Linked DNA regions of Canis lupus familiaris. The protein of the gene in region 2 purifies or fractionates together with the protein of the main gene of each other region. This does not show direct contact. Links are inferred from orthologs where the notes say so. Each region holds a gene or a part of one and is shown on either strand. Other genes may lie near its edges.

What was found.
Region 1: the proteins of CDC25A (region 2) and CUL1 purify together in Homo sapiens (affinity purification with western blotting; 6 studies listed by BioGRID, with this or other methods). This does not show direct contact. The link is inferred for Canis lupus familiaris from reciprocal best matches to the Homo sapiens genes CDC25A and CUL1.
Region 3: the proteins of CDC25A (region 2) and G2/mitotic-specific cyclin-B1-like purify together in Homo sapiens (affinity purification with mass spectrometry; 3 studies listed by BioGRID, with this or other methods). This does not show direct contact. The link is inferred for Canis lupus familiaris from reciprocal best matches to the Homo sapiens genes CDC25A and CCNB1.

What each region holds. Positions count from the first base shown.
Region 1 is NC_049237.1:1,739,193-1,746,764, reverse strand, and holds the start of CUL1 (cullin-1), read left to right. Parts: upstream 1-3,309; 5' UTR 3,310-3,576; intron 3,577-3,704; exon of another isoform or gene 3,705-3,829; intron 3,830-3,847; exon of another isoform or gene 3,848-4,087; intron 4,088-5,115; exon of another isoform or gene 5,116-5,180; intron 5,181-7,572. UniProt on the Homo sapiens protein: Core component of multiple cullin-RING-based SCF (SKP1-CUL1-F-box protein) E3 ubiquitin-protein ligase complexes, which mediate the ubiquitination of proteins involved in cell cycle progression, signal transduction and transcription.
Region 2 is NC_049241.1:41,247,238-41,254,777, forward strand, and holds part of CDC25A (M-phase inducer phosphatase 1), read left to right. Parts: intron 1-2,586; coding exon 2,587-2,685; intron 2,686-3,808; coding exon 3,809-3,871; intron 3,872-3,966; coding exon 3,967-4,065; intron 4,066-5,397; coding exon 5,398-5,528; intron 5,529-7,540. UniProt on the Homo sapiens protein: Tyrosine protein phosphatase which functions as a dosage-dependent inducer of mitotic progression. Directly dephosphorylates CDK1 and stimulates its kinase activity. Also dephosphorylates CDK2 in complex with cyclin-E, in vitro.
Region 3 is NC_049250.1:29,510,631-29,517,638, reverse strand, and holds G2/mitotic-specific cyclin-B1-like, read left to right. Parts: upstream 1-2,936; 5' UTR 2,937-3,031; coding exon 3,032-4,315; 3' UTR 4,316-4,337; downstream 4,338-7,008. UniProt on the Homo sapiens protein: Essential for the control of the cell cycle at the G2/M (mitosis) transition.

The DNA.
Region 1 (7,572 bases), on a different chromosome or scaffold from region 2:
ATATTGTTGATTTGGAATCTGGTGGACCAAAACGAACTTTGAGTTTTTTTTCTAATGAATTAAAGGAGAGGATTTAAAAATCTGCTTCTTCAAAAGCAATTTACGACTCATTGTCCTAAGTGGAAGAAATCATGATATTATTTCATCTCTTTCCTGCTTCCTTTGAATACTTAGCTGGTTGGAGTCCCTGTATAGTTATAGTAGTGTAGCTGTTTTTCTAAGAGGAACTAGTTTTTTTTCTTTTCTTTTTTTTTTTTTTTTAATCACACCTAAGGTGCATTTCATGATTTGGATTCAATAAACACATTTAATGGAAAACTGTTTGCTTGGCTCGTCTTCCTTAAAATACAGTTTCAAAACCAATAAGACTTATTGTAATATGTCATAATGCTAATACCAGAAGTTTTAAGGTCATAATATTCGAAACTTTGGCAGAGGAAGGTTCATTATTAAATCAGTGGTTCCCAAAACTCAGGTCACTAGACTGGCTCTGGGTAATTCCTTCTTCTTCATCATCGTCATCATCATCGTCATCATTATTATCGATTATGTTCATTAGATATTTAATTCACAACAACCTCATATGAAGCACAATTATCACCCTCTTTTCCTGCATGAAGAAATTGAAGCACAGACAGGTTAAGTAACTTACTTAATGCTACCCAGAGGTAGTAAAACTAGGATATAAACTCTGACAGTTTCAAATTCCCTCCCTGTCCCTGCCCACCCAATTTTGACTCAGTAGATTTGGAATGAGCCTTGAAATCAGTATTGAAGTCCCCAGGAATTACTGCACGACCCAAGGCCCAGACCATCTAGTTTAAAGGCACATGTGAGAAGTCAGCAATTAGGAAGAGATCACAAAAGCCTGGGTAGAAGGTGCAGCGTAGGCTTCCTGGAGGGAGGGGTGTGAGCTGGATCTCAAAAAGAGAGCAGGGTTTACAAATGTACGAAAGGAAGAGGGAACTATTTCTGGTTAAGGGAGGAAGCAAGCACTTGTAAATAGTGATTTAAGACTGGTATTTGTGAGCCAACAGTAGGCCCAACAAGACCGAGTGAAGTTGGGACTTCCTTTTGGGAGGTGGCTAGAAATAAATTAGGGAAAGTAAGCTAGGACAAGATTGTGGCCAATCTTAAATGCCAGGTCAGAGCTTGCTTGGACTGATCCCTATGAACAGTGGCGTGTGTGTGTGGGGAGGGGGGGGGGACATTAAAAAGTTTGAAAGGACAAAGATATAGTGATGAAGGTATCAGCTAGGAGAGAATCCTCCGTAGTCAGTCACTGCACAGGCTGGAAGGACAGACAAGAGATCAGAACCAGGAAAATCATTTAGAAGGTTAAAGGAACAATATAGGTGTGGGAATATATCTTGGTGAACTAGTGGATGTGTATAGACCTGGGAATTACTGGATCAGGTTATGCTGCTGACCAAGCTGAGTGATTTGAAGCAAATTGCCTACTATCTCTCTGAGTCCTAGGATTCTTCACTGGAAGATGGGTATGATCATGATAATGTCTGACCTCACAGACTGAGCCAAAATAGAGGATTCCTCTAGGATGTGGTGACCAGCTCTGGGGTACAAGGTAAATGAGCCAGAATTTTGAGTTTTCAGGCCCCCAGGATTTAGAAAATGGAAGATACTTTATGGGAGACAAGGAAAGAAAGGGAACTAATACTTAGTGTTTGGGAATTATGCTGGGATTTTAGAGGAATTACTCTTTCCAACAACCTTAAGAGGTAGGGCTTTTTACCGCCATTCTAACAGCTGACTTAACTAGAGGAAAACATAGTTTGAGTCTGGATATAAACCAGGGTCTGCCTAAATCTAAAACTTCATCATATCATAAGGTTATATTGTAAAAAGTTATATTTTATTTCATTGGTTTGGGCCTAATATTCTAGTCTGAGACTATTTTGAGTTTTGATTCTGACATCTACCCAGGTCATTCATCCCTCCAAACTTCGTGTCATCTGAAAGGAGGACATCAATTTTGCCAAGATGGGGGTAGAGAAGATGGGGAAAGGATTTTTTGGAGTGAAAAGAGAGTAGATGGCCTTGATCTGTTAGGTCTAAGGCAAGGTCACACGCCCAGAGTAGGAGGGGTGTAGATGCAGCCTGGTTGTGAAGGGGCAATAAAAGCCAATGGAATAGTCTAACTGCTAAGAATGATAGTGCGGATGGGTAGAGAGTAAAGGACAGAAGGAAGTCAACAACCTGGACCAAGGCAGGGAGAAGCGGAGAGGGTGGTATGGGTGGATGAAATACTTCTCTCCAAGAAAAGCAGAGAATGGGATACACAGTAAAGGGAGAGGTGGCCCACTCAGCTGGTACATTAGTTGTGTGAGGTGCCAGGCAAGGAGGCCGTATGGAATGAGAATATTGAAGAACACAGGTTATGGGGGATGAGATGGGTTATTGTCTGAGGAAAGCTCAGGTTCCAGTAAAAAGGGAAAAGGGAAGAAATGAAAGCTGTAAACGGGAAGCCATATATGTGTCGTGGAAAGCACTGTCCACGGGGACAAGCCTTGCATTTTTACTTCCAGTCTTACCATGTGCCCACGAAACATGGCTAAATGGATGTAAGTGTTCTTTTGACTAGGTTATTTATAAGGATAGTAGATAAACCAAGAATTTTGACACCCTTGCACAGGCCGAGGTTACACACTTTGGGGAAGTGCAGTACTTCCAAAGGCACCTCGGTGTTCCCAGAGACCACATCTCGATAGAAGGAACCACATGGCACCGGCGGGATGGTTCTTCTAAGGAAAACCCCTATTACTGAGGATAAACTGTGGGCTCTGGGGGCAGCTTTGTGCTGTAGGCCTAGGGCTTGCACCCCAAGGTACTCGTAGCAGAATCCCTGTTCTGTTTTAGTTTGAAGCAAAACAGGAAGTTACATCCACCACATCTTTTGCCCAGATAGGCCAATTGGGAATCCTTCCTCGCGTGTTCGCGGGGTGGGCCGGCTCCCTGGTCCGTGGCGGGGGTCGTCGCAGGCGAGCGTGCTTGCCCCGTCCTCTGTCCCCCTCGGAAGGCGCCCGGCGGCTGGCTGTGCTGCCGAAATTAGTGTTTTAGAGTCGTTCCGAGGCCCCGAGGCCCCGAGCGCCCGTTGATGTCACCTGGCTGCCGTTCGCGGCTCCAGGGGACACGTGAAGACGTTTTCTCTGAGGTCGCCGCCGACCACGCACACCTGGGGAGCCTCCCGCGCGTCCTGATGGGTGTCTCCTCGTCGCGGGCCCAAACGGAGTTGGCTGAAGCGTTCAGCGCAGGGCAGCGTCCTCGCCGCGTTTCTCTCGGGGGGAGGCTCCCTCGGGAGCGGGGCGCGCCCCGCTGGGCCCAGGCTTTCAGGTACGGGCTGCAGGGCCGCAGGTGTCCCGGGGCTCGGAGCCCCCGCCCCCGGAGGCAGGAGGCGCAAGGCCCCCCTCGAGGGTGTTTCGGGGCCGCTCCTCCAGACGCGGGTGCCCTCCCCGCCCCCCGTGACCTAGAAAGGTGACCCCTCCTCGTGAGGTCCGAAGTGGCGGGAAGCCGGGTCTCGGGAGGCGCCCGGAGAGGATCGGGGCCGCGGGCGTCCAGGTAGGGAGCCGGCCGGTCGCGGGGGCGCGGGGGCGCGGGGGCGCGGGGGGCGCGGGGGGGCGCCCCCGGGGGCAGGGCAGGGCAGGGCAGGGCAGGGCAGGGCCGCGCCGCGGGGAGGCTTCCGGGCCCCTCCCGCGCCGCGGGCTTGTGAGGAGATGGCGGCGGCGGTTTCCCGGCTCCCCCGCCCCGGACGCCGATGGCGGCGCGTTCCGGCCCTCCCCCCGCAGCCTCTCCCCCGCGGGAGCCGGAGCCGGTGAGGCCGGGAGGGCGGGGAGCGGCGGAGGGGAGGCGAGAGGGCGGAGGTTGCGCGGCGCGGGCGGCGGCGGCGGCGGCGGCGGCGGCGGGCAGGGGGAGGCGGGGGAGGCGGGCGCCGTGTCGCGCGCAGCTCCAGGCGGGGCGGCCCCGCGCTGAGGGACGCGGCCAGACGTCGGCGGGACGGGGAGGCGACCGGGGCCGGCCCGGCGGCCAGGCGGAGGCGTCGCCGAGCCCTCTAGGCCGCAGGGAGATGCGGGTGAGTGGCGGCCGGGCGGCCTGGCGGCGCGGGGCCGGGGCCGGGGCCGGGGCCGGGGCCGGGGCCGGGGCCGGGGCGGGTGGGGCGGGCGGCGGCGGCGGCGGCGGCGCAGGCCCGGGCCGGAGCCGCGGTGTCGCAGTGACGGGGCCGCGGCGGCCGAGCACAGGCGCCCGGCGAGGCCTGAGGCGCCGCGGGCCGGCATGGCGGCCGGGCCGGCGGACTCGTGGGCGGAGGACGCCGGGGCGCGAGGGGAGCGAGCGGGGCCCGGGCCTGAGTCACCCCGGCCGGCTGCGGCCTGCGCGGGCCGCGGGCTCGGTGCGGCCAGGCCTGGACTACGCACTGGGGCGCGGGGTGGGGATTTAAAAAAAAAAAAAAAAAGCCCGATTCATCGCGTCTGAGCGTCAGAGGCGCCGGCCTTGCGGCGCCGGCCTCTCCCCCGGCGGCGACCGGGCCCGGCCTGTCGTGCGGCGGCCCCTCGGGGCGCCCGGGCTCGCCCCCATCCCCCCCCCCCGGGCCGCTAGTCCCCCGCGCGGCGCTTCCCCCTCCGACTCGCGCTCAAGAAAGTGCAGGGCTCGCGCGCCGGGGAGCCGGGCAGCCGGGCAGCCGGGGAGCCGGGCTCTGCTCTCGGGGTCCCCCCCGCATTGTTGCGACGGGGCAGGTCGCGATTATTGGGCAACAGTCGCCGCTCGGCCCGGGGAGGCGCGCGGGTGCGGGCGCGGCGGCCGGCGGGACGGAGCCCCCGGTGACCCTCGGCGCCCCCCGGTGCCCCCCCCCCCCCGGCGCCCGCGAGTCGGGCCGGGCCTCGGCGCGCCCCCGGCCCTGCGCCCGGCGGGAGCGCGCGCTGACCCCGCAGGTAACCCGGCGCGGGCGGGGTCGCCCCCCCCCACCTGTGCCGCGCCGGGGTCGGTGGCCCACATGGTTAAAGGGAGAGGGAGGCGCTTGAGGAACATTCCTGGAGACTTGAGCCCCAAAGTTGAGGGTTTTCTCTCTCTCTCTCTCTCTCTCTCTCTCTCTTTTGCCAAAAACAGGATTCTCTGTTCCGATTGGATCACGAGGCGGTTGCTCTTTAGTTCGTAGTTTGGGGTTAGCGGTGGTAAGTGTGCAAATACGGAATTGCAGTCGGCGTCCTCAAGTCCTGTATTTGCTGCTGCGTGTAATTGCCCCTTCCCTGGAGTGTGGCGTTTGAGACAAAGTGAAGAGTGGAGTAAGTGGCCACGCTGTTGTTGGAAACGCTCTTAGCGGAGTGACAGAAGGGCGACTAAATTCGCTGTTACCTCGAGCCCTGAGTGTGTGGGACCTAACCCTTTCCCAAAACGCCCCGCCGCAGCGTGTGCAGTTCTAAGTTTAACACCTCCTCCCCCTTGTCTACCTGATTCTCTGAAACGCTGGAGAGCTTATGGCTTTGTGTAGCGAGAGCGGAAATGTTGAAAAGCAAAACCAGCCGTTTTGTGGAAAAAGGAATTTTGGGTTTTCTTTGTTTAAAAAAGGGTGCTTGGATATTAGGATTTTTTTTTTTTTTTTTTTAAGTGGAAGTGCTATTTGTTGCTTTCCCCGTTAAGTCAAATAGCACCGCATTTCCAGTTCCCAAGCGCGCAAGCTTTAAACCCCACCGTGCCCATTTTTGGAGGTTTCGGGAGACTGCGCATCAAGTCTGAGAGAATTACTCTCTGAAAATATTAGACGTTTTTTTCCTCGTCGGCACCGTCTTTTAAAAACGATTTTGCCGAAAAGAAAAAGGAGACACTGTAGACAGGCTTAGGCTTTTAATTTTGAATACCCTCCCTCTCTCAGCCACATGCTCAGGTCCTTGCAGCCGTGTCTCTCAGTCCTAATGTCTGGGAGGCCACATCAAGAGGCCAGAGGGACACAGGAATGGCTGTACTGGTTCTGCAGTCTGCTTCCATGTCACAGCCCCTAAGACTCCTTTGCCTCTTGCTGAATATTGTCTGCTAGAGGTGATTAACTTAGTGTTGTCATTGCAGCCTTTATGCATTTCAGGCTATGAATTCCTTGAAGGTAGGGGATATGCCTTCCTTTTGCCTCCCCAAAGTAGCATGGAACTTGGTATCCCAGTTGTCTTTTGAATGAGTAAATCTGGAATGATTCTGATACCCAGTGTTTGACCACTTCTGATGTGGGCTGCAGAAAACCCTGCTTATGCTGGTAAGAATGAAAGTTTTATTATCATTGGGGTCATCGTTGGATCCAATATAGTGCCCCAACAGAAAAATACTCAGGTTTTCTTCAGCAGTGGGAATCTAGGAAAGTGTTAACAAGTGGTGAAACTTCAATTAGCTTTTTTCCTTGGGAACTAGTTTTAAGGTGCAGCTAGCTAGTTATTTATCTATCTATCTATCTATCTATCTATCTATCTATCTATCTATCTATCTATCTAATCTGTCCAGCAGAGGATTGAAGTATTTGCCCCCAGGTTAAATATTGTAGTCTTGCTTTTGAAATGAAATCCCTTGGTAGCTGAGGCTCTTCCCTGTTGTAGAGATAGGGCACGCCCAGCCCCGGCGGTGCCGGTGCTACTGGAGTCTGATGTGACCTCTTTTGCAAGAGAGGCCGTTCTTGGATCCTTGTGGGCCTTTGTTCAGAAATTTACCTCCAGTATACCCAGCAGGCTTAGTGTACCTTTCTTTGAACTTGGAAAATTAAAATGAAGTACTTTATTTTATTTTTAAGATTTTTATTTTTTTCACCCAATGTGAGGCTCAAACCCACAACCCCAAAATCAGGAGTGGAGTGCTTTTCTGACTGAGCTAGCGAGGCACCCCAAAATGAGCACTTTAAATTGACTTGCTACTTGCCGTTCAAATTAAAAATGAGGGCCCCCCAAATTTAGGAATGTGTGTGTATTTTTGTTCTTTGCTGTTTCAGCCTTACATGGCTTCCAAAGCCACAGGTCTTCTGTCCTCAGCAGTTGAGTCAGTCTGGAATATGATGTCTTTGGGGGACCATAGGCTTGTTTCGAATTGTCTTTTTTTTTTTTTAATTTTTTATTTATGAATGAGAGACAGCACAGCCGAGACACAGGCAGAGGGAGAAGCAGGCTCCATGCAGGGAGCCCAACGTGAGACTCAATCCTGGGTCTCCAGGATCAGGCCCTGGGCTGAAGGCGGCGCTGAGCCACCCAGGCTGCCCTCGAATTGTCTTTTAGTAGATGTGCCTAGAAAAAAGTTTACCATTTTTAAGGGCCAGTTCTAGGCTCACCTTGCTCTTTTTTCTGTTACCTAGTATTTTCTCAGTAAGGTGTATTTGTTTGCTTTTCAAAACTGAGAAGTAAACATTAAATGAAGAATACATTATATTTGAGTAAAACCCTTAACTCCATTCTATTACTGAGGACTTTTCAGCTCCCTGTTTATAACATGTACATTTGATAATGCGTGCTGTAAACAGAATTATGATACTTAATGATGTTAAAACATTTATTCATACAGATATTTTCCAGCCATGTGTCTGTTGTTTATTCGTTCATT
Region 2 (7,540 bases):
CTTGAAATTTAGTGATTGAAGAACTCAGGCCAGTTGCCTTGTAGAAGTTCCCACAGTCCTATGGGATCTTCTAATATTGTCTTCTCTCCTTTTTATTGCCCATAAACCTCTAAACACTAGGAAGACTTGATGAGATTGAGATTCAGTTTCTTTGGCATGAATATCTCATGGGTGATTTTGTTTACTTTGATCAGGAGACACATTGCTGGGAAGTCATTGATGATGATTGCCTAGATTTCATTTAACCAAGGTTTCAAAAAAGTGATCCTGTAGTTCTGTCATTCTTTTTTTTTTTTTTTTTTAATAATTTTTTTTAGAAAGTTCTGTCATTCTTCATTTATTGGCAGAATGTACCTCAAAGAGAAACTTCCGTGCATCAAACTCTTTGGTCACTTGTGGGAAAGGCAAAATGCATGCTCCCTTTCTTTAAAATAAATATATCTCCGTAAATGCCAACCATGACCAAGAAAGAACATTAGCAGCAGCCCAGAGCCCCTCCTGTGCTCTCTCCCTCAACGACACTGATCTGAACTCTGTTGCTATAGCTGAGCTTTGCCTGTATTCAAATCGTATAAACTTGAAGTCCTACTGTATGTATTTCTTTTATGTCTGGATTCTCTTGTTCAGCATTACTTTTGTGAGAATCATCTATTTTATGTGTCCATTCTGGTGAGTGTACAGTGTCTGCGGTTTTAGTTTTTATTTCCCTGATAGTTATTTTTCTTGGTCCTGATTTTCCCTCTCTGTATTGCTAGTCCAAGTGAATGTGCCCATTTTTCTATTGGGTTATCTCTTATTTGTGGAAGTACTGTATACATTCAGAGAGGATTCTTTTATTTAATTATTTTTTTAAAGATTTTCTTTATTTATTCATGAGAGACATACAGAGAGAGAGAGAGAGAGAGAGGCAGAGACACAGGCAGAGGGAGAAGCAGGCTCCATGCAAGGAGCCCAACCTGGGACTCGATCCCAAGTCTCCAGGATCACACCCTGGGCTGCAGGCCGCGCTAAACCGCTGCGCCACCGGGGCTGCCCCAGAGAGGATTCTTTTAAAGATTGTTTATCTTCTCACTCTGGCTTGCCTTGTCTCTTAATACTGTTCTTTTGATGAGCAGAATTTCTGGACTTGTTAAATGTATTTCAATTAATCGGTCTTATTTTATGTTTAGTGCTTTTTGTGTCCTACTTAAAAGAAATCCTTACCTCCCCATGACTAACCCTTTTGACATCACTCTACTAGTCTAATAGCTTCCTTGCTACTATCATAAGGCATTCCAGGTTTATATTATACATTTCTTATCCCAACCTGGAGTCAGTCACTTCAAAAACCCTGGTTTATTTGTTCCTTTCTTTCTTTTTCTTTTTTCTTTCTTTTTTTTTTTTTTTAAGATTTTATTTTTTAAGTCATCTACACGCAATGTGGAGATCGAAGGATACCCGGGTGGCTCAGGGTGTGATCCTGGAGTCTTGGGATCAAGTCCCACATCACAAGTCCCGCATCAGGCTCCCTGCATGAAGCCTGCTTCTCCCTCTGCTTGCGTCTCTGCTTCTCTCTGTGTGGGAGTGTCTCTCATGAATAAATAAAATCTTTCAAAAAAAATAAATAAAACGAGACCAAAAGTTGCATGCTCTACCAACTGAGCCAGCCAGACACCCTCAAAGCCTAGTTTCTTTTTTCTTTTTTTTTTTTCTTTTTTAGATTTCATTTATATATTCAAGACAGAGGCAGAGACACAGACAGAGGGAGAAGCAGGTTCCCTATGGGGAGCCCCATGTGGGACTCGATCCCAGAACTCCAGGATCACTCCCTGAGCCAAAGGCAGGCACTTAACTGCTGAGAAACCCGTGCCAAGCCCTGGTTTCTTTTAGTGGAAAATAGTATTTGGAGACCATGGTATCCTTTAGGAATGCTCATTGTACCTCAGTGGATAGAGCAAAAAAATACTTATTTTAGACTCAGCCTTAATTTTAATTCCCCCTCTTTTTAAAAAAAAATATTTATTTGCGAGAGAGAGCAGAGTGAGTGAAAACATACATTTGCGAGGGAGAGGAAGAAGAAGCTCCCCACTGAGCAGGAAAGCCAACGCAGGGCTCGATCTCAGGACCCCAGAATCAGATTCCCAATTGACTGAACCAACTCAGGTGCCCCTTAATTTCCCTTTTAAAAAAAGGTAGAAAAGGAAAACTTAGTTTCAGAACATTTCAGTTAGATGCTAAAATAATAGTAGACCTAGCCAGTGACCCATATTCTCTTTTTCAATCAAATAAAGAAAATGTTTTATTTGCTAAATATAGACATTTACATGTCACTCTCTTTTTTTTTTAAAGATTTTATTTATTCATGAGAGACACAGAGAGAGGCAGAGACACAGGCAGAGGGAGAAGCAGGCTCCTTGCAGGAAGCCTGATACGGGACTCGATCCCGGGTCTCCAGGATCAGACCCTGCTGGGCTGAAAACAGGCGCTAAACCACTGAGCCACCCGGGCTGCCCTGTCACTCTCCTCCTGGTGACATGTTCTAGGTGAATGTTTTCAAAAGTCCTATTCAAAACCCTGGCCTCATTTTCTACCTCTGATTTGTTACAGATTCTACATCAGTCTTTATCCCTGATATCTTCCCCGAAAGGGACCATTGAGAACATTTTGGATAATGACCCAAGGGATCTTATAGGAGACTTCTCCAAGGTAATTCTAAGTAGATGCAAGGAGAGCTGCTCTGACTAGGTAATTTGGGCTTTAGGTGCTTCCTAGAAGGCTCCCCTGCCTTTCTCCCTCACTCGGTGGCTCTTGGCAATGCCCTTAAGGGGACACAATTTAAAGTTTTTGAAGATAAGGAAACAGACTCATGATCAGACGTATCTTGGTCTCTGTGGGACTATAGACCTTACTGGTACTAATCAGAGGAAGTAGGAAGCTACCCACCAGCCACCTTGACTCCAACACAAAGGCCAGGCTCTGATTATAAAAATAGTAATGCAGTAAAGTACAAAGAAATAAGAATAAACCTGTAGCCTTACTACACAATTGTATATCCAAAGGTTATCTTGGAATATCCAAGGTTGATGAATTTAATTTCTCTGTTGTCCAGAGAAGTATAGCCTTTGAAGGAGAAGGCCCTCAGGGGAGTGCAGAGGGAGATCTGCTGATGGCCTGATATGTATGGATTTGCTGAGTGGAAGAGTTAGCTGTCTTTGGGCTGTGGTGAAATATGAGGGTGGGACAGGGAATGTATCAGTAGCAGCTTGTTTAGACACATAGGATAGATGTGAAGGCTACCAGAGCATCATTGGTTTAGCTAACATTTGTTGAAACACTATTACATGTTAAGCAAAGATTCCAAAATTAAGTCCCAGTTCCTTCTCTCAAACAACTTATCCTGTGGTCAGTAAGACCTGTCATGCTGTCGACTACACAGTAGATGGAAGTTTATTGAGGGCAGTGTGAGCAGCCTGGAAGAAATAAAAGGGAGTTGTCTCACCTAGAAGATTGTGGAAGGTATGGGTCTGGGCCATATTTCATATTTCAGCCAGGTGAGTTTTGAAGAAATAGGGACACATAAGGGGGTTGAAAATAGGCAACAACTCCATCTGAATGGAAGAAGGAGCAAAGACTGTGTCCCCATTGGTGGAACCTTCCACTTGAATTGAAACTGTTGGTTATATTTGTCATAATGACCTTGCCAATGGCCATGGGGATGGGTGAGCTCTTGATTCAGCCAGTTGCCTTAATGAGTAATTGCTGGTGTGCTTATAATTGTTACATTTATCAGCCTTGAGATTTGCTTAAAAAAAATTTTTTTTTCTTTAAGGGTTATCTCTTTCATACAGTTGCTGGGAAGCATCAGGATTTAAAATACATCTCTCCAGAAATTGTAAGTCATCTTTTTGGATCCTGTCACCCATGAGGTATTTGGTTCTAGTTGTTCCTGACAACCAAAGTTGATTCTCCTGGGTTTTCTCTCCACAGATGGCATCTGTTTTAAACGGCAAGTTTGCCAACCTCATTAAAGAATTTGTTATCATTGATTGCCGGTACCCGTATGAATATGAGGGAGGCCACATCAAGGTATGGGTTCTTTTATTTATTATTTTTAAGATTTTACTTATTTATCCATGCAGGGAGCCCAATGTGGGACTCGATCCCAGGACCAGGGGATCACGCCCTGAGCCAAAGGCAGATACCCAAATGCTGAGCCAGGCGTCCCAGAATTTGTGATTTTTAAAAGGGTGTGGGATGGTCGGGGTGCCTGGGTGACTTAGATGGTTAAGCGTCCCACTCTTGATCTCAGTTCAGGTCTTGATCTCAGGATTGAAGCCTATTTTAAAAAAATAAAAATAAGGGACACCTGGGTGGCTCAGCATTTGGGCATCTGCCTTCGGCCCAGGGTGTGATCCTGGAGTACCGGGATTGTGTCCCAGATCAGATTCCTTGCATGCAGCCTGCTTCTTTCTCTGCCTGTGTCTCTGACTCTGTCTGTGTCTCTCACGAATAAATAAATAAAATCTTTAAATAAAATAAAATTAAAACGTAAAATAAAGGGAAGAGGTGGTAACACCTGGCTACTTAATAGCTCATGTGCTGGTTATGAGATTTTAATTTTTTAATATTAATATTAATTTCACACATAATATTCTTTTTTTTTTTTTTAAAGATTTTATTTATTCATGAGAGACACACACACAGAGGGAGGGAGAGAGGCAGAGACACAAACACAGGCAGAGGGAGAAGCAGGCTCCATGCAGGAAGCCCAACAAGGGACTCCATCCCGGGTTTCCAGGATCACGCCTTGGGCTGAAGGTGGCGCTAAACCACTGAGCCACCAGGGCTGCCCTGGTTATGAGATTTTTTAAAAGACAATTTGATTCCTAGTGCACTGAAGAACGTTCCCTTGCCCTACACTGCTCTTCACCACATTGTACAGCAAATGCTGCCTGTCCTTTGCTTCACACCATCACCATCAAGGGCATTTCTAGGTGGTGCCCACTGATTTCTAAGCCAGGCCTGGGCACCCCAAGGCTTCTGACCAGAAGCCAGTCTGGTGACATGTCCTAATCTATGCCATACTTAGTGGTGCCTCTAAGTCTGTAGTTGAATTAAGCTGCAGGGTGGAGGGCAGGTGTTGGGTCATGCTTTCCCAGGAAAAAAGTAATTGGTTGTGCCAACTTCATCTTTTAACCAATAAAATAGTGTTGAAATACAATAAAAGGGTACATTAAATACAACATTAGCATTTGCCAGTGTCTTAGTAGCTTTCAAAAGTTCCGAATTCATAAATACCACTCCTGTCTGCCATAGTCATAACAGAATATGAGGTGCCCAATTATAGGTGACTCTCACAGAAGAATCATTGGCAAGTATGTTATGCCCAGGTTCCAAGAGTCTCTGGTGCCTTCACAGGGTGCAGTGAACTTGCACATGGAAGAGGAGGTTGAGGACTTCTTACTAAAGAAGCCCATTGTACCTACCGATGGCAAGCGTGTCATTGTCGTGTTCCACTGCGAGTTCTCTTCTGAGCGAGGCCCTCGCATGTGAGTACTGCATGAAACTGGGCTCTGCGGCTCAGGCCTGCGTTGACTGGTGGGATGTGGCAATGGATGGCTCACCCTCAGGGCGTACTTCAGTATACCGAGCAAGCACCCTCTCCCACATCCTGAATCATTTCCATGCCTTAGCCTGCGCACATGACTTGTAAATGTTCACTTTTGTGAAATTTCAAATTCATGTGTAGCAGATGTGTGCCCAAATCCTTATCTATTAAGCAGTCAATTTGATGAACAGCTTCCTTGAGTATGGCTTTTTATAGGCTTGACCTATCAGTTTCTGTGGCCAAGGGCTTTAGGCCTTCTCCAGCCCAGCCCTGTCTCTGGCTAGTATGGTAGGTGCTGGGAGTACAGAGGGCCAGCTGGAGACGGGGGTGAGGGCTGAGGCAGGGTGGAATGCAGCCTTGATTGGGGTAGGACAAGGTAGACTTTTCATGGGCCCCTAGGCCTGGATCCTTGTGCACTTTTCATTTTGAACCAGTTCTAAAGTCAGGCCACACGGGGGCGCCTGGGTGGCTCAGTCTATTAAGTGTCAGACTATGCTAAAATTGTGAGATGGAACCCTATGTGGGCTCCATGCTCAGCGGGGAGTCTGCCTGAGATTATTTCCCTCCCTCGGCTGCCCCTCCTCCCTGCTCGCACATGCTCTTGCTCAAACATAATCTTTTTTTTTTTTAATTTAATTTATTTATTTAATTTTATTTTATTTTATTTATTTTTTTTATTTATGAGAGACAGAGAGGCAGAGAGAGAAGCAGGCTCCCTGCAGGAAGCCCGATGTGGGACTCAATCTGGGGACTCTGGGATCACGTCCTGAGCTGAAGGCAAATGCTCAACCACTGAGCTACCCAGGCGTCCCTCAAATATAATCTTTTTTTTCTTTAAGAAAAGAAAAAGGCCATTTGCCCACATGTGCTTCACCTGACTTCATCAGCAGCTTCTGTTTTGCTGCATTAGCACACATAGAATTACACACATAACTACAACAGGAACTTGTCTCCCCACCAACCTCCTGAGGACAAGGACTTGTCCTACATTAAGCACAAAACTGTGATCACATGAAGGGGTAGGATTTGGGTGAGGACTAACGTTCACTCACTCTACAGGTACTTCCCATTGCCTCTCACATGCGAAATAGTGTTCTGATTACTGTGGAGAACAGCAAAATGTAGGAGAACAAAAAGCCCTGCCTTCACGGAGCTTGCATTTCATACTGGGCAGGAGCAGACAAATATAATAAATAATATGTTAACTACTCTGTGTTAGAAGGTATTTCAGAGACAAATAAGATGAGAGGTGGGTGCTCCCAGGAAGTTTGGAGGAGCAGCAAGGGGGCCAGAGTGGCTGGAGTAAAGGCTGATGGGGGAGGAGGCAGGGGCAGGGTACCCAGTTGGGGGCCACTGTAAGGATTTTGGCTTTTGTACCAAGGGTTGGTAGGTAAGAAGCCACTGCCAGGTGAGGGTATTAGTGAGAGTATTTAGTATTCCATGCAGGAGTACAAGTAGGTGCCTTGAGGCAGGAGCAAGCTCGGCTGGGTGGCTGGCTGGCTGGCTTGTTTATTTATTTATTTAAATTTTTGATTTATTCATGAGAGACACACAAAGGCAGAGGCAGAAGCAGGCTCCCTATTAGGAGCCCGCTGAGGTACTTGATCCCAGGACCTTGGGATCATGCCCTGAGCCAAAGGCAGACACTCAACCACTGAGCCACCCAGGCATCCCAAGCTCTGCCTATTTAAAAGCCACAGGAAGAAAGCAGCTGGCTTAGTTAGGAAGTGAGGGAGGGACCCTAGTGGTGAGGAGCTGGAGGGTGTGGTGAGCGGAGATTGCAATGGGGAGCCGTCACTCCACATGAGGTGTGGGTGGTAGCATAGAGGACCTTGGGCAGGGGCCAGACAGTAGGGCCATTGAACCTGGAGGAAGGACAGCTTGGGAGAGACCATCCATCTCCCTATGAACTCTTCCTAAAGACCACATGTGGCCTGGGACCCACAGCTCAAT
Region 3 (7,008 bases), on a different chromosome or scaffold from region 2:
AAGGTAAAAAAAAACTCCTGGCTGATGAACTCGGTTTCTAATTTTTTCTGTTGTCATTCTGGGCAATATGTACTTGTATAATACACATGCAAATTCACCATTTGAAATGAGCACTTCTGTGATTAGAAATTGTGATGGTTGGTATTCAGAGCACCAATTTAAACATTTCATTTTTCGATCCATTCATTCATTCATTCATTCATTGGACCTTCACTTAGCACCTTGTACATGCCAGATGCTGTGCTGGTACTAATAATTCAATGACATATTCTACATGGTCTCTACCCTTAAAGATAGAAAAACACATAAAAGTTCTTTTTTTTTTTTTTTTGAGTTCTTTCTTCTCCAAAGAAGTCTTTAACATTTTGCTTGCATAAAAATATGTTTTAGTGAAAGGAGCAAAAATTTAAAACAAATACGTTACGTATTAATGCACTTTCAATTTATATTGATATTCTCTAGTTTTCACATTATTTTTACTCATTGCTATCTTCATCACCAGCACACACATCAACCAACACAATATTTCAAGTATATCTAGTTTGCCTTATCATCAGTAACAAAGCTGAGTAATTACAGTATTGCCATATGGGTATGGAAGTTACAGTGACAGGTCACTGGGCCCATGAACTTCATAAATACTTGCTAAATGAGAATTAAAGTATAATGCTGATGAACACCAGGTCCAGGGAAATTTTTAAAAACCAGGCATGCTTTTCACTGTTCCCTGAGGGAGTCATGTTGCTCATCAGAACCAAATCTCCCTGAGTGGTCCTCAATGAGCAACACCCCTATCAACTACCATAACTCATGCTGCCTCAAAAAGGCAGCTGGACTGAAAATCCTTATTGTTTACTAAAGTATTCAGTATTCACAGTGCAAGAGTAGACTGTACCTCCTCCCTGACAGCCTAGCAGGACTAACGCCACTTGTCATATATTCCTGCTTACTCAAATCTTCACCAAAAACCCAAGTGTCCATGTCACCCTTTATCTCATAACCAAAATGCTGTTTACACCCTCTAATATAAGCTAATTCCCCTCCTTTGTCCTTCCGCCTAAATACCAGATTTTCACATAACTAGTTCTCTGTCAATGTTTAGGTCTCACATCAAATACCATCCTCTCAAAGGTCTTATCTGACCATGCTAGGTAGGTCTTATGTCATGCTCAATTATAGCACTATGTATTTCATTCACAGCAATGTCACAATTTGTAATTATAATTTAGTTTTTCTGGTTTACTTGCTTAGTAATTTTTTGTTTACTGGTTTATTACATATCTTTCTAAATTAGACAATAAAGTCCATAAAAGTCAGAGATGATACTCATGTTGCTTACCACTCTCCACCCAATGCCTACATCCAGCACCTGATATGTGCATAATAAATATATGTTGGATGAAAAAAAGCTACTAAATAGTTAACCAAGAATATCATTATATAAACAGAAACATACACTTTGCTCCATTTCTAGTGCCACTACCATTACACAAATGAACACCATTTAATTGGTTGAAACAATTTTTAAATGGTCTCCCAGCTTCTCTTGCTTCACTACTTTCTTCCCTTGTGAATCTGCTCTCTACATAGTAAGAAAAGTGATTTACAAAAAGTAAACTTAAAGAAGACAAAGTTACTTAAGAATTTTGCTTCCGAGAAAAAAAAAGTTGATCTATTTTTCCTTATTTTTCCCCTTATGTACAATTTAAAACCCTGGACACTATGTATACAACAAACATCTGAAGACTCTAAAATGTGGAGAGAGGGCATATCAGTAGAAACACAGAGACTCAAGGAATGAAAGGGTGGTGAGTTTCCTAGGCTTTCTTTTTGCCTCAAATATTCCAGATTTGAAACTGAATAACTGGTAACCCAAAAAGACCAATACACACAAACAAAGCTCAAACAAAAGTCATACACCCATGGAAATTTGAGAGGAGAAAATATACTTGGAAATGAGAAGGGCAGCAGAAGCCAAAGAGAAGGATTTCGGTATTGAGTGTGTGTATTTCCTTTCTCTCCTCTTCATTCCAGCTCACTGCATTCCTCCTCCTATAGTATACATTTAGATTCCAGATCTCCCTGCTGCATCTGCATGCCAATACTTACACCATCACCACCTCGCTTGACTCCACCACTACCAGATAGGCCCCAATGTCAGAGGAAATACAGAGGCCAGGAATGAAGAAAAGGAGAAGTGGCAGGAAAATGCAAGGGCAGACAGTAAGATACTGAATTAACCTCTTAGCTTTCAAGAAGTTTTCAAAGTACCAATGAAGAAGGGAAAAGAGAGGGGTACCTAGGTGGCTCAGTGGTTGAGCATCTGCCTTGGGCTCAGGGCATGATCCCAGGGTCCTGGGATGGAGTCCCACATCAGATTCCCCACATTGAGCCTGCTTCTCCCTCTGCCTATGTCTCTGCTTCTCTCTCTGTGTCTCTCATGAGAAAATAAATAAAATCTTTAATTTAAAAAAAAAAAAAAGAAGGGAAAAAAGAGAGGAGAGACCTACAATGGTGTGGCTCTTCATACCCAAGTATACACTGAGTATTTATTAGGAGTTGCAAATTTACTACCACATTCAATTAAATGGAGAAGGTTTTATGAAAGACGTGAAAGAAGAAAGAAAGAAAGAAAGAAAGAAAGAAAGAAAGAAAGAAAGAAAGAAAGAAAGACAGACATGAAAATGTGGGAATTAACTGAAAGAAGAATTTGGTGAATTGCCAAGTTAAAGGAAATTTAGGAAACACTGCAAAGATGTCAATATATCAATTAAACCAAAAAGAAAACTGAGTATTCTCAATTATTAATACATGATTACAACCAATATTATACAAATATATTTAAATATACAATGAAATATAAGCTATATTATAATTACACATCAAGAAAAAACTAATTAGAGGTGCTGCGGAGGAACGGCTGTTGACCCGCGGGCCTCGGCTCCCGGCTCCCGGCTCCCGGCTCCCGGCTCCCGGCTCCCGGCTCGTCAGCGGCTCCCGCGCTCTCCTCTCCCCCCGTGAAGACGCGGCCATGGCGCTCCGGGTCACCAGGAACACAAAAGTGAATGTTGAAAACAAGGCGAAGATCGGTATGGCAGGGGCAAAGCAGGTGCCTCTGGCCTCTGCTGCAGCCTCCAAGCCCGGCCTGAGGCCAAGAACTGCTCTGGGAGACATTGGTAACAAAGTCAGTGAACAACCACAGGCCAAACTGCCTCTGAAAAAGGAAGCAAAAACTGCAGTTCCTGGAAAAGTCATTGCTAAAAAAATACCAAAGCCTCTGGAGAAGGCACCTGAGCCTGTCCCTGTCCCTGTGCCAGAACCAGAGCTGGAACCTGAGCCGGTTAAAGAAGAAAAACTTTCACCCGAGCCTATTTTGGTTGATACTCCCTCTCCAAGCCCGATGGAAACATCTGGATGTGCTCCTGCAGAAGAATATCTGTGTCAGGCTTTCTCTGATGTAATTCTTGCAGTGAATGATGTAGATGCAGAAGATGGAGCTGATCCAAACCTTTGTAGTGAATACGTGAAAGATATTTATGCTTATCTGAGACAACTTGAGGAAGAACAAGCAGTCAAACCAAAATACCTACTGGGTCGTGAAGTCACTGGAAACATGAGAGCCATCCTAATTGACTGGCTAGTACAGGTTCAAAAAAAATTCAGGTTACTGCAGGAGACCATGTACATGACTGTTTCCATTATTGATCGGTTCATGCAGAATAACTGTGTGCCCAAGAAGATGCTGCAGCTGGTTGGTGTCACTGCCATGTTTATTGCAAGCAAATATGAGGAAATGTACCCTCCAGAAATTGGTGACTTTGCCTTTGTGACTGACAATACTTACACTAAACACCAAATCAGACAGATGGAAATGAAGATTCTAAGATCCTTAAATTTTGGTCTGGGCTGCCCTCTACCCCTGCATTTCCTTCGGAGAGTGTCTAAGATTGGAGAGGTTGATGTTGAGCAACATACTTTGGCCAAATACCTGATGGAGCTATCTATGTTGGACTGCGATATGGTACACTTTCCTCCTTCTCAGATTGCAGCAGGAGCTTTTTGCTTAGCGCTGAAAATTCTCGATAATGGTGAATGGACACCAACTCTACAGCATTTTCTGTCCTACACTGAAGAATCCCTTCTAAATGTTATGCAACACCTGGCTAAGAATATAGTCATGGTGAATCGTGGGCTTACAAAGCACATGACTATCAAGAACAAGTATGCCGCCTCTAAGCATGCTAAGATCAGCACTCTGGCACAGCTAAATTCTGCACTAGTTCAAGATTTAGCCAAGGCTGTGGCAAAGGTGTAACTTGAAACATGCATTGGAGTATTGTAATATCTGCAAATAAAATTGGCACCATGTGCCATCTGTATATATTATATGTTACCTTTACTTACTTTTAATAAAGCTTGTGGTCCTTTTTAACTTCTTAAAAAAAAAAGAAAAAACTAATTAGATATATTTTCTAAGTTTTCATTTTTTTAATTTAAAAAAATTTTTTTTAATTAATTAATTTGTTGTTTAAGTAATCTCCATATCCAACATAGGACCTGAACTTACGGCTCCAAGATCACAAGTCGGATGTTCTATCAACTAAGCCAGCCTGGAACCCCTAAGTTTTCATTTTTAAGGTACAAATTAGTGTAACCGAAACTGCGTGTACTAGGAGACAACTAAAACCTTGAAATGAACATTTAAAATATACAGTCATTAGTGTATGCAATATCTTTTGCATATTTTAATCTAAGCTTTTCAAATTCTCAATACCTTTTGATAATATTGGCTAATGTTAAAGTCAAACTATATATCTCAGAAACCATATTCTAGAATTTGCGTACAATATCAGTACCTTTTATTTTGCTACACAATTTAATGCCACTTACAACTTTTCTTTAAAAAAATAATGGTGAAGTGCTAAATTTTGCCACAAGGTGGCTCTTCCCAGGTTTTAAATGAACTGCATCATGTACTCAACTCTACAAAAATCAACATAGAGAACATAATATCTCTTACATTTCTTTTAAAGTGAATATTTGACATAGAGCCAGTATGGGGAAAAGAAGGAAAAAAATCTAAGCATGATACAATGCATATACAACTAAACATTCATTCCATGATGATGTATGTGAGTTTATGTCTGTGTCTGTGTGTGAAAGAGAAAGAGACTGTTACCATAATGTATATAGAGGACACTCCAGCTCCCGAGTAGCTGTAGTAAAATGTGGTACTAACAATGAGACTGAAAAAAGAGAAATTAAGGAGTCGACCCCATTTACAATTGCACCCCAAAGCATAAGATACCTAGGAATAAACCTAACCAAAGAGGTAAAGGATCTATACTCTAAAAACTACAGAACACTTCTGAAAGAAATTGAGGAAGACACAAAGAGATGGAAAAATATTCTATGCTCATGGATTAGAAGAATTAATATTATGAAAATGTCTATGCTACCCAGGGCAATTTACACGTTCAGTGCAGTCCCTATCAAAATACCATGGACTTTCTTCAGAGAGTTGGAACAAATCATCTTGAGATTTGTGTGGAATCAAAAAGACCCCAAATAGCCAGGGGAGTATTGAAAAAGAAAAACAGAGCCGGGAGCATCACAATGCTGGATTTCAGGTTGTACTACAAAGCTGTGATCATCAAGACAGTGTGGTACTGGCATGAAAACAGACACATAGATCAATGGAACAGAATAGAGAATCCAGAAGTGGACCCTGAACTTTATGGGCAACTAATATTCGACAAAGCAGGAAAGACTATCCACTGTAAAAAGGACAGTACCTTCAATATATGGTGCTGGGAAAATTGGACAGCCACGTGCAAAAGAATGAAACCAGACCATTCTCTTACACCATACACAAAGATAAACTCAAAATGGATGAAAGATCTAAATGTGAGACAAGAATCCATCAAAATCCTAGAGGAGAACACAGGCAACACCCTTTTTGAACTCGGTCACAGTAACTTCTTGCAAGATACATCCATGAAGGCAAAAGAAACAAAAGCAAAAATGAACTATTGGGACTTCATCAAGATAAGAAGCTTTTGCACAGCAAAGGATACAGTCAACAAAACTCAAAGACAACCTACAGAATGGGAGAAGATATTTGCAAATGACGTATCAGATAAAGGGCTAGTTTCCAAGATCTATAAAGAACTTATTAAACTCAACACCAAAGAAACAAACAATCCAATCATGAAATGGGCAAAAGACATGAAGAGAAATCTCACAGAGGAAGACATAGACATGGCCAACATGCACATGAGAAAATGCTCTGCATCACTTGCCATCAGGGAAATACAAATCAAAACCACAATGAGATACCACCTCACACCAGTGAGAATGGGGAAAATTAACAAGGCAGGAAACCACAAATGTTGGAGAAGGTGTGGAGAAAAGGGAACCCTCTTACACTGTTGGTGCGAATGTGAACTGGTGCAGCCACTCTGGAAAACTGTGTGGAGGTTCCTCAAAGAGGTAAAAATAGACCTGCCCTACGACCCAGCAATTGCACTGCTGGGGATTTACTCCAAAGATACAGATGCAGTGAAATGCTGGAACACCTGCACCCCGATGTTTCTAGCAGCAATGTCCACAATAGCCAAACTGTGGAAGGAGCCTTGGTGTCCACCAAAAGATGAATGGATAAAGAAGATGTGGTCTATATATATAATGGAATATTCCTCAGCCATTAGAAAGGACGAATACCCACCATTTGCTTCGACATTGATGGAACTGGAGGGTATTATGCTGAGTGAAGTAAATCAATTGGAGAAAGACAATCATTATATGGTTTCACCCATATGGGGAATATAATAAATAGTGAAAGGGATTAAAGGGGAAAGGAGAGAAAATGAGTGGGAATAATCAGAGAGGGAGACAGAACATGAGAGACACCTAATTCTGGGAAACAAACAAGGGGTAGTGGAAAGGGAGGTGGGCGGGGGGTTGGGGTGACTGGGTGATGGGCACTGAGGGGTACACCCGACAGGA